Tribolium castaneum: one gene and its partners. The protein of the gene in region 2 interacts with the protein of the main gene of each other region in a pairwise test. Links are inferred from orthologs where the notes say so. Each region holds a gene or a part of one and is shown on either strand. Other genes may lie near its edges.

Region 1 (3,655 bases), on a different chromosome or scaffold from region 2:
GCAATGTTTTAGCTCGATTGTAGCAAAATTTTACGAAATAAACTCATCAAAAAACTAAAAAATGATATCACTTTTGACCTAATTAATTCTAAAAGTGGTTATACGGTTGAGAAAGACAAAAAAATTATGAAACATTCCTTAATATACCGCAAGATTTTATGTTTTAAATTTCTGCGGTGAGCTTATTTTACAGTTTCTTTGAGGTGGCGACACAAAAGATGTGAATTATGTAAAATTGTCAATCTCCTATCTGTGCTTATTCAGTGTTGCAAACTTAATTTGAGACCTTGGGCTACTGTGAGGCACTTAGTGACAAAAATGCAGAACAAACGATATAATTAATTGGTGATTTCCGTTTAAAAAACGCAACATTATGTGTCGAGTTAGTAACAAGCCACTAAGCAAAATCGGGCTAAAAACGTGCAAATTTTTATCCCGACTTTCGACCTTTAAAAAAGCGATTGCTTACTAATGCGGTTGAAAGGTCTGAAGTACGTAGGACTGTGACTAGGTAAATTTGGAATATTACTTTCAGACTGAGAAGACACTGTTGGTATGAACCGTTGCATTGATTTTTGGTGTAAAATGGGTTGGCAATTAGGTCCAATGTGTTCACTTCGACTCATTTGTGGGTGGTAGCCACCATTCGTCCCTTCGTGAACACTGTACAAACTTGAACACATATTCGCAGTGAGAGGTTCCTCGTAATACGCCTTCACAGTCTAAAAACAAAACGACAATCAAATTAAACCAAACCAAGAACAATAATCACTTACACAAGTCATTTGCGGCCGGTAATTGGGCGAAACGTGATTGGAATGATTCGAGTTGTACGTTCGAGCGTAAACAACTTCAGTTCCATCGCCAGCACCGAAATTCGGATGCTCCGAAATATGTTTGTAGTTGTTGCTTGGCGGTGCAGCGTTTCGCGGCGAAGTGTTTTCGCTGGGTAATGTTTTATCAGGCTCACTATTGAAGATTTTCTCATAATTTTCAATCAAAATCTCCACAACGATGTTATAAAATTTCAAATCCATGATCGAAGCAACCGTTTCTTCCTCGGGCCGGAGCAAAGTCGGCCCGAAACAAACACCCAAGTTGCTCACAGTCATCAAATTCTTGTCAGATTTGGCGGAAACACTGCAAAAATTATTAGTTGTTTGCCAAGCGCTTAGTGGTTTAAATTACTTCGTTAAATGCTTGATTAGGATTTTGATCACTTCGAAGTTGGTTTTTGGTAACCGGTGGATTAGCGTGTGCACGTCGTGTATCCTCATTTGGCGGGTCTCATTTTCTGGTAAAAAATTGTAACGTGTTGGAACAACAACAAAAACGATAACTTACTGACTGCCGCTATGAACCCGTTATGGTATTTGTAAGTCATGAGTGGTTCCGGGAGGTTCCGTAAGTAACTTTTCAAAGCGCTCGTTATGGTTTTGGTTTCCCACTCTTGGGGATCTTCCAGAGATAATTTATCACATTTCCTGCGATCCAAGCCCATGTTTAGCAATTTGTTCACTTTCGAAGTGACTCCAACGACCCGATAGATGCCTTGCTCCTCCAAACCGCGACTTTCCAGCACTTCGATACATTTTTTCACAAACTGGATGCCTAAATCGTCGAGGAGTCGCTCTTCCGAATTTTGTGCTTTGTTAACACCTGGAGTTGTGTAAGTCTGGAATAATTGTGTCAAATTTTGATCAAACTGTGTTTGATGAAATACCGGTTCTTTGCCATCCATAATATCCAACCAGGCCTTCCGGTCTTGCTCCGAAAGCGCCTGGAAGGTTAACACAACCCCAGGTTTTGAATCAAACTGAATATCGAAACAAAATCTCTTATCGATGGAATCAGACATTCGCCTAACACACGACGTCAAGACCATGGCTTCAGGTGGCGAAATCTTCAAACGAAAAATCAGGAATGAAACGCAACCCTGGTAACTTACCGTTTTGGTTGTTAGCTGATTGTACGGTAACATCGTAAACTCTTTAGTTTCTTTGTCATATGTGCAAAAATGTTTGGTCCATGTGGTACCAAAAGCTTCTGCAAAACCAAGCGGTTATTGGCGTTTTCACGCATTAAAACCTACTTTTCTCCAAAAGAAAGAGGTAGCCCTCCCTGCAACCCTTATTCTTTTTGACCGGTTTTTCGGAGTGTTGAACGTCGGCCATTCGTTTCCGCAATTTATTGCTGTAGTCATCAAAATTGGCGCGTGTTTTTTGTATTTTGTGTTGCAAGTCGACTGTGTAGGGCCGAAAGTCTTTGGCTACTTCATGCCCCTGGTGGTAGAAGGTGAGCCATCCGAACAGAAACGTTAAAAGTGTCTCTACGAACTCGAATTTTTTCCGCTCATGCACTTCTTGGATCAGATAGACGTATTCCATGCTGGCCGTGAAGAAGTGGCGTTCTGCCATGTCTACAGAAGCGTCGGCCTGCAAACAAAATATCGATCGTCCCTTTGTAATTGAATAAAACACGAAGATCCCTTTCAGCTCGTGTCAGTCGCGAAAATTTTCGACACCTACGCATTGTCGATGCTAATTTATTTAGGACATCCTGACGGTTTCACGAGACGGCCGAATGGAAAAACCACATTTCACTGAATGGTGAAAAAGTGATATGGCACTAGGGAAATTCGCAAAACGTGGTTTGATGGAAAATGTCAATTTGGAACTGGCTTGCATTGAGGCCTTAGTGGGTGAAGGCGCAAACGCACGCTGATATGACGTCATTTAATCGATACGCACCCACGCAAATTACGTCATCGTTTACGATACAACCCCCGCGGAATCTCTGAATGAGATCGCCGATTGATTCATGGACGGATATGACAGGATTAAGATAAAGGAGCGAAGGATCGCTGATGACTCATGATCGAAGGGCAATGCAAAATTTAACGATGTGGGAAATGAGGCACGGGAGCCCCAACTGCCAAAAATATTAATCGCCGATCAATATACGAGGCCAAACTTAATTTCTGAAAAAAATTTAACACAACCAGGACATGTACGAGTATCTGTTTGAATGACGGAGAGCTAAGAACTATTAGCCTTTTGTTAGATTTACATTTTTTTTTACTTTAAATCTAGTGTAATATTATTTTCCCTTTCGTTAACAAAGGTCCATAAAAAAGGAGATAGCACACAATAGTTCATCAGTAGGAAACTACTGACTGCGCCAATGAAGTTTGTAACAACAAAAGTAACCGCTTTAGCAAAGAAACAATTAATTTCCAGCTATTTAAAGGTCAATATTGAACAACTCGCTAGAACAATTTACTGTACAGGGTGCTGCATTTTGGATGTCCTTAATAGGGGATCTCCGAAACTAAGAGGTTTAGAGAAAAACAATTGACACATTGGTCCGTTTTTAAAAAAAATAATTTTGGTCAAAACCGCATCCTGCTATCGTTTTTTGTTTTCGACTTATAAACAAAAGTTGACATTTAAGCAAAATCTTAAAAACATCACATCATCCTTATAATAAAAAACACATTTGAAACAAAGACATTATACAGGCACTTATTTACAGAGAATTTAATAATGTTATCAGTGGTTATTTTTATTCATTCGTTTAGCTGTAATAACAAAGTTGTTTTTTTTAAATAGGAATCATTGTTGGCCTTGACATTTTTAAAAAGCTTATTTTTTTC
Region 2 (4,336 bases):
TAGGGTTGTTCAATGAAATCGCTTAAAAATAAATATTTGTCTGGAAATTTACTGCTTAAAAAAATAAATAAATAAAAAGGTATTTGCTTACTGCAATGAACTCGTGTCTGTCCAACATTCCGTCCTTATCTTGATCCGCCAAATCCCAGATTTTGCCCAAAGTCTCGAACGGTAACTTTGACTCTAATAAAACGTTCTTCACCTTGAATAACACAATTACAAAATTTCCGTACAAATAAACAAGGTATTACTTTATTGCCGGGGATTAGTCCGTTAGTTGGTTGTAAAGAGTCGAATAATTTATCGTATTTCTCTCTTTCCGCTGGCTTGACGGTCCAGTCGACTGCGGTTGGAGGTAAAGAGGTAATTAAAGGAGAATTGCTAGGAGGTGGAGGTTTTACAGGTTTGGGTAAAGGAATGTCTCCCATTTTTGGCGGAGGCACGTCCACATTTACGTTCGATAAGGATAAATCTCTACCGTTTTGTACAAGAGCGACTAATTTTAAAGCTACAAACATGCCCGACTTGTCCAGACAGCCGCGTCCACCGGGATCGGACAAATCCCAAATTTTCGACAGGATTACGTCGCTTAGCCCGGATCGTTTGAGGAATCGCGCGGCCTCCATGCCACCCACCGTACCGAACCCGTTGGGGTCCACCTGGAACAAACACCCAATTGTACTCACACTTATTCAAGAGGAATTATCGATTTGGCCTTGATGCCCTGTTACGTAAAATCTGTTGTTAATTAAACAGCAACACTGGCACCATTTGCGAACTCATCCGTGGCCACTTCAGTAAATTAAATTTTAATAATAAAAAATAAAAAAAATCAAATTTATTTATTTTCGAAATGTTCGTATTTCACGACGTTTTCAGATAAGCCATCTGCATAGAAATCTGATATATTGTAGGCATTGATATCAGCTTGCATAAAAATAATGCAATTCATTTAGAAAATATCAGTTTATAACAAGAATCATGAGTAAGTTTAAACAATTTTTGTATTTTTTTTTCAAAGTATCATGGAAGAACTGTGGTGCAAATTTTGTTATCTTTTTTCAAACAATAAGCGCAATATTATTGTTTCAGACTTTACATCATAACATGTTAAGATAACAAGTAATAAGTAAAAGTACAAACTAAGATCCTTCTCTACCAATTTTTTTATTTTTTATTATAATAGTGCGACTTATGCCTGAAGATGGCCACATAAATCAATGGCCGAAACATGTAGCTTCAGATAAAAAAAAAATACGTATTATACACAATCGTATGTCTCTCAAAAGGAATTAAGCCTATAATGAAAAGAGTTTGTTCAAACGTGTGTTCCAAAGTGGAGAAGAATAAAGTTACTCTATTTCAAATGGAAATTAGAATTCTAAAACAATTACACGTTTTCGAATAATCTCTGCACTCTGATTAATTTGGAAAGTGCCTTAAATCCTCAGAATCTGCCGATAAAAACCGTAGTTTAACTCTCATTTTATTTCGGTTTTGTTCTACGAAAGGAATTAATAGTAGGTACTAAAAATTTTGTTTTAGAAAACGTTTCAAATGCAGTAAATTGTGAAAAAAAATAGCAAGAGCTAAATAATAAGCTGTACAAAAATAAACTGAAAAAACTAAAGGATATGCAAAAAAATCTTCAGTCAGAGACAACATTGTGTAGTAAAAATTAAGTCCAAAAGCACAATGGTCTTGTAAAACATAATTATTTTTTGCAAACAAATTTAGCAAAGTTGTTTAACACTGAAGACTATAATACAAACAATACTTTTTTAAAACAGAAAAAAATTAAGCGAATATTTATTGCTATCACAATTAAACACTATCTCTAACAAAATGTGCCTCTTCATACACTCTTGATCTTTGTATGAAGCACAAACTTGGTAACGATTTCTTGCTTTAATGTAAATGTTTAGCCCTTTTGCTTGGTCTTTTACACTTATTTAATAAAATTTTGGTCAAGAATTAGTTCTAGGAAATGGTCAGGAACAGCTTGACCAACTTGAAGAAAAAACAAATCACAACCACCCCTTATCTGAAAACATTTGTGAATAAATAATAGATGCAGCCTGTTTCAATAGCACTTTTTGTGTTTATCTATTAATAATGCTTTCGAAAAATTAGTCAAAATTCTGGGGCCAAAAACAAAAAAATGGTAAGTCACCAAAATTTTGGCTGTAATTTCCGTTTAATTGGAATCAGAATGTGCACTTACCACATTGTAATAAGCCTCATATATGGCACTGTGGTTTCCAGCCACCTGAAACACACCATGAACGTGCATAATATTAAAATCGAGCCAAACATTCGCCGAATTTCATAGTTTCATGCCTTGGTGCTCTACGAGCTGTCCGAGAACAGTTACACGTACGAATTAATGTGTTTTAATTGATCTTTTCGCAGTTTTGATTACAAACTGACATTTGTCAAATTTTGACGAAAACTCGGGGTGTGCCAAAATGTGTGACATTCAACAGTTGAATTGTACAATCATCGTGTATTTTTTCACAGGAAAGGGCAATTCCTTCTGATTCCTAATCGTTTTTATGATAATTATGAATTATTGATAAAAATATTATGCTTTAACACCGCCCACTGTCACAGTCGAGACGTGATAAGGGAAATGGTTTTCGCGTAAAATCTAGCACACTCAGAATTACAAAAAAGCAACGGCACTATCAGGCACTGATAACACACACTGTGGCTTTTTCCAAACTCGAATTTTCGCAAAATCAAGGCAAAATCACCGAATAGTACCTGTGTCGGTGACGGCAACGCAGCCATCTTTTCGAATGCCCCAAGTGTTTTCCTATTGGTAAATACGTTTTTATTCGACCAATCACAACTACAATCAATAACAAGATGAAAAATGCTGCCAACATTAACCGAACGGCACGAAATTTAAACTCGGACTAACTCTAATCAAGCAAAGATTCAATCGCAGCCTCGCACTCCCCCGATAATTCAAACGGATCGTTCTGCAGGGCCTCATAAATGTGGTGCTCCCTCAAAAAAACGTCACTATTCTTATACTCTTCCATGAGAATTTCGGTGGAGATATTATCGGACTCGATTTCACGCAACCAGCGCATTTTCTTGTTCAAATCCTTGACGACGTTGTAGCACTGCTTGAGTCTGGGGCCCAGAAACACGTTGGCGTTGATCAAGCGCCAGGCGTTTGATTGTTTTTTCCGGTACATCCCCTTCAGAGACAGCTCGTTCTGGACCACATAGGTGGCACAAATGTCGAGGAGGCTTTTGGGCTTCCCCGTGATTTTTGGGACTAATTTTCGACCACGTCTCAAAACTTTCGTCGGTCTGATGAAACTTGACTGGGCTTTACTGGTTAGGGGTTTTTCAGTTTCAGGATTGGGGCGACTTTTTTCGGGAGTTTCGGGTTTGTCCCGGTTTTTGGTTGAGGGTTTTATGTTGTTCAAGTATTCAAGTAAATGGGGCCGCACGCTAAAAGCGTCATTCAAATGCGTGTTTATTAATTGTTTTTTTTTACTTGATGTCGGGTAAAAAGTCGTGCGTTTTTTTCATTTTTTCGATAATGGGGGACGAGGAGTCGAAGTCTTGGGGCATGTCCACTAAAGTCAAGATGTAGACTAGAATTGGGGACGGTAGTTCGTCATTCATCAAGTCGCAGATTGATTTTAAAGTCTAAAAATTGGGAATAATTTTTTTTCGATTAAAAAGTGGTTACCTTCTCGTAGTTTTTCTTATCTGTTTTTCCGTTATTGTAACTGTGAATCAGTTGAAAAGTGTTTTCTATAGTTTTGGGTTGGTTTTGGAAAATTTTGTGTAAAACCATCATTAAGAGGGACTTTGTATCTTCCATTTTCTCAAAACTATTTTTAACAATAATTAAATGTCACTTGTCAGAGATAATTGAAGCTCGAATTCAAGCCTACTTTAATTTGGTTTGAAAAACTAGTTCACAAAAAATTATTTTGTTAATTAGTTGGCCACCTTGAAAAAGTCTGTTATTGTCAGGTTGGCAGTTCTTATTATGATTAAAATTTACTAATCCACTATTAAGGCCACGTTTAAAATAAATGATGTGTTTGGTAAATAAAGCACGTAAATAAGAAACACACTTTTATTGTCAAAAAATATAAATAAATAATTCGACAGCTTTAAGGATTTTTTATCCAAAACATTCTCAACATCAAAATAATACTATCAAAAAAACAAGAAGAACAGTATTACCTAAAAAAAACGAGCAGATAAACAAGTACTTTATCCTTGAATGCCTTTTTCGACTAGATTATTAGCAGTACACAAACCTAAAGCTTTTAATTTATTTGCTACTAATTTTTATTAA
Region 3 (3,655 bases), on a different chromosome or scaffold from region 2:
CTATACAACATGCCTGGGTAGTTTGTGAATCGTCTCCTGTTTAGAGGAGACTTATCATTTCTTGCCGGTCTGTCTTCAATGATCTCAGATCATTGTCACTTATCTTGAACATCATTATTTACTGATCAGTGATCAGTTTTATTACCACTATCATTACATAAATAATTGAAAACGTCTGCCAACTTAGCTAACTTAAAAAGCGGGACATTTTCACAAAACGAAATCAAAAAATACGCCAAAGTAACTGGTATTGCTAGGTCAAATTTGACTCAGAAGTTAAATACTGACGCAACCCAAATACTTACACTGTATCTGGAAGAATACATCGCGCCTAGAGAATACCTGGAGGGGGTTGAATTTATCAGGTCTAGACACCTACAGCGATTTGACAATTTGACTTAACTACGGAAAAACAAAACCAGTTGACAGTTAAACCGTATTCGCAGCGTTTTGAAAAATCTGAGACGAAGCGCAAATTTTAAATTTAAAACAACTTTTTTCCCACATTTCTCGTGAAAATTTTGGTCGTCACTTTTTCTCAGTCTATTAAGAATGCAAAGCACAACATTTCTGTATTTTTTCCAAGTAATTAGTGAATTGAATTGAATTTGAATTAATTTAAAACGATCTGGTACCGGGAGTAAAAATACTACTCTCCGTATTATATTTTTTGGGGTGCGATTTTGTACCTCGTTTCGTTCCCTACTCTAGTTTCAACTTACTGGTGTAAGCATTGACTAATTCGACTAAAGTGAGGAATGTTTTGTTGGTGGAAATGTAGAATCCGCCGTTATCAAGCGGCTTGATTTTGTAGTGTTTGACGTGGTATTCCCTGATCTCCTCCCAGTCTTTGACTGAGAGCGAATACCCGTTGGGATTATGCTCGGAAGGACGGACTAGGAAAGTTCCTCTTGGATTTTCCTCGGCGAGGAGAAGCTTCTCGGCTTCCTTTCGCGATACGTTTTCAAAAAACCAGCTAAAAGACAAAGGATGTGACAATTTCCCGTTGTGATAAGAGGAAAAACCGATACTAACTCTTCGCTTTCGACGCTCAATTCGGCCGCTACAAAATTTCCAGGGATGTAGCCCTGGACTTTGGTTATGAGATGTATCACATTTAGCCAATCGCCTTCGGAGTCATCGATGACTTCCATGCGATCGCCTTTCTTAAACGAGACATCGCTGCTGTCGCGGGCCTCGTAGTTGTAAAGGGCCACGACCACGCGGCCCTTTACGGAAAGAGGGGGCCGTGTGGGGGTCGGCCGACTCCTTATTATATCGACATGACTCCGCTGAGGGTCCGGTGTGTAGGGATTGTTGATTGTCAGTCGAGGTGGACCACCTGGAATTTTTTTTTCATTATTTTATGTAGGAGTTTTCGTGACTAGTAACATTTTGGGGCCGCCAAGGTCACCCGATCTGACACCGTTAGACAATAATGATTTACCCAACATGTTTGGAAAATACGAGGGAAAATATAATTTCCAACTTGAATAACTTGTTTGCAGCACGAGTGCAGTGAGTGCTCTTGGATGGACAGTTTTTGTGGCAATAAATTTACAAAGAAATTATAAATAATTATGGGTTGGTTTTTTTATATTATATTATTCGAAAATAAAATTAACTAGACGCCCTCTGGTGATGACTTTTGAACTATGTCGAAAACAGTAACGAAATTTTCGTAATTCCACATTTAATTGACGTCTAGTAAATTGTTTAACAATTTTGCGTGTATAGTGTTAATTGCTTACATTGGAGAGAATCACTTTAAAAGTACGTGGTGGTAAATACTAGCTTTGACTTTGGTTCTGCGGTTTTTCGTGGTGTAAAGTGTTTATTGTTGGAATTTGAAAATGAATAAAAAGTGAAAAAGATTTAAATTTTCATTACAAAGTGTTATCAAACAATTGTCTAATTAAAGACTATAGTAATGGATCACAGCGAACACAAAGTTGGGCTCAAGAAACCAATAAATTAGTGAATTTTAGGTTAGAATTTTTCCACTGATAAAATCATGAAATACTTCGATAAATCAACAAAACTACAATTAAGATTAACAACTGCTAATACACTTAAACGTAAATTATGCCAAAAGGTAGGCTTCTCAATGTCTTTGTAATAATTTTCCAATAAAGAAAGTAAACCAAAAAGTCATTCATTATTCGTGTTTTCCTCGACATCTCCAATTTGTCAACATTCGTTTCTTCCACCAAAGATACAATAATCATTCCGCATAGGCAATGTAATAATTGTGAAGCCTCAAAATTCGTACAACGCTCAAAATATCCGAATAAACATTTTCCCGCCATTTATGGTTACTGTTTTCGACCTAGCTCAGTGGCGCCCTCAACGGTAACTTTACTTCCGAATATTATATTATATATTATATAGGAAATATTGGGAGAGTTGGGACACTGAATGTCAATTTTCGAAATTTTGGTTCATATACGTCGGTTGGAATGTGTAAAAAACAAATTGGGATAGAAATGAGTGGTGTTACACTTGAAATTTGGCGAAAAGTCAAATAAATTTGTCAAAAAACGTTTCCATTTTTCGTCGACTAACTGCGTTTAGAAATGGTTTAGATTGGCAGTCGTCGTCAATTCACTGTTTTTTTTATATAAACTCCAAATTTTAAAAGAGATTTCTTTGTAAATATAAGAATTTTACGTCTAAACTCTTCATCATAAACATTTTTTCCTTAACTTTAAGAAATGGTAATCATCGATGAAAGAGAGAGAAATTGAACCTTTCCTGCCAAGTTTTACGTTTATTATTAACAAGCATTTGGAAAAGTGGATTGACTAAATAATATTATGTACAAAATCTATGAGATTTTGGGAATTTGTCTATGCATTTACAAAATACGTAGGTACTTGAACCCAAAATTGGTTCTAATTTTTAGGAAAGTTGAACCTGTCACTGCTTGGCCGCCTTTAGCATCTACGTGAACTTTAGATTTTGTTTCAAATTATAAAGTTATTGGGAATTCACGATCTTGTTACGTTTTTCATACGAGAACACCTTCAATATCATTTTTTAGAAAATTTAAAAAGACGACAGGAAATATGAAGGGTTCTTGATGACCAATTTTTGGGACGTCTAACTAAAAATTGTGACTGAAAGAAAAGCATTTTTAGCATTGAAGTATGTTTTAAGTTATGTATTTAATATTAAAATAAATATTGAAAAATTTCAGAAATGTGAACATTAATATTAAGAGGTATTCAATTATTTTCTTTTTTTAAATAGTAATCCCAAAATTTCTACGTTTCCTACGTCCCTGGTTAAATTTGACGTAAAATTATGTCATTTTATGCATTTGACAAAAATTATAACCTTTTCGTCATAAACCTCTGACATAAGTAAGTAACAAAAAAAGGAAAGAAATATAGTGGCGGTCAGCTCGATTTGCGTGTGCGTCATCAATTTCATTTTTTCATTACCAACACAAAGCTATAAAAAATTATCAAAAACAATGCAAATTTAAACAGCTAAGGGCTATCTAAGGGTGGTATCCTTTAACATTAATTTACATGTGCACTTCGACAACACCGTCAAGTGTCACGAATTTGTCAAACTGACATTGACAGTAAATTATAGACGTCGTCGAAAGTGTTATCGGTGTTAATCGCAAGTATTTTCTGTTCGTTTA

The links.
Region 1: the proteins of Eps-15 (region 2) and Graf interact in a two-hybrid assay, tested with the Caenorhabditis elegans proteins (2 studies listed by BioGRID). The link is inferred for Tribolium castaneum from reciprocal best matches to the Caenorhabditis elegans genes ehs-1 and T04C9.1.
Region 3: the proteins of Eps-15 (region 2) and Src64B interact in a two-hybrid assay, tested with the Caenorhabditis elegans proteins (2 studies listed by BioGRID, with this or other methods). The link is inferred for Tribolium castaneum from reciprocal best matches to the Caenorhabditis elegans genes ehs-1 and src-1.

What each region holds. Positions count from the first base shown.
Region 1 is NC_087402.1:9,655,778-9,659,432, forward strand, and holds part of Graf (rho GTPase-activating protein 26), read right to left. Parts: intron 2,683-3,655; exon of another isoform or gene 2,529-2,682; intron 2,436-2,528; coding exon 2,093-2,435; intron 2,047-2,092; coding exon 1,724-2,046; intron 1,676-1,723; coding exon 1,345-1,675; intron 1,295-1,344; coding exon 1,189-1,294; intron 1,141-1,188; coding exon 777-1,140; intron 723-776; coding exon 470-722; intron 1-469.
Region 2 is NC_087396.1:20,523,329-20,527,664, reverse strand, and holds the start of Eps-15 (epidermal growth factor receptor substrate 15-like 1), read right to left. Parts: upstream 2,878-4,336; 5' UTR 2,794-2,877; coding exon 2,767-2,793; intron 2,270-2,766; coding exon 2,225-2,269; intron 660-2,224; coding exon 252-659; intron 203-251; coding exon 92-202; intron 1-91. Other genes in the region: uncharacterized protein LOC103314840, read right to left, coding at 2,928-3,471, 3,518-3,672, 3,716-3,850.
Region 3 is NC_087394.1:24,284,824-24,288,478, forward strand, and holds part of Src64B (tyrosine-protein kinase Src64B), read right to left. Parts: intron 1,343-3,655; coding exon 1,036-1,342; intron 977-1,035; coding exon 723-976; intron 1-722. UniProt on the Caenorhabditis elegans protein: Non-receptor tyrosine-protein kinase which plays a role in endoderm development by controlling spindle orientation in EMS blastomere, probably downstream of receptor mes-1.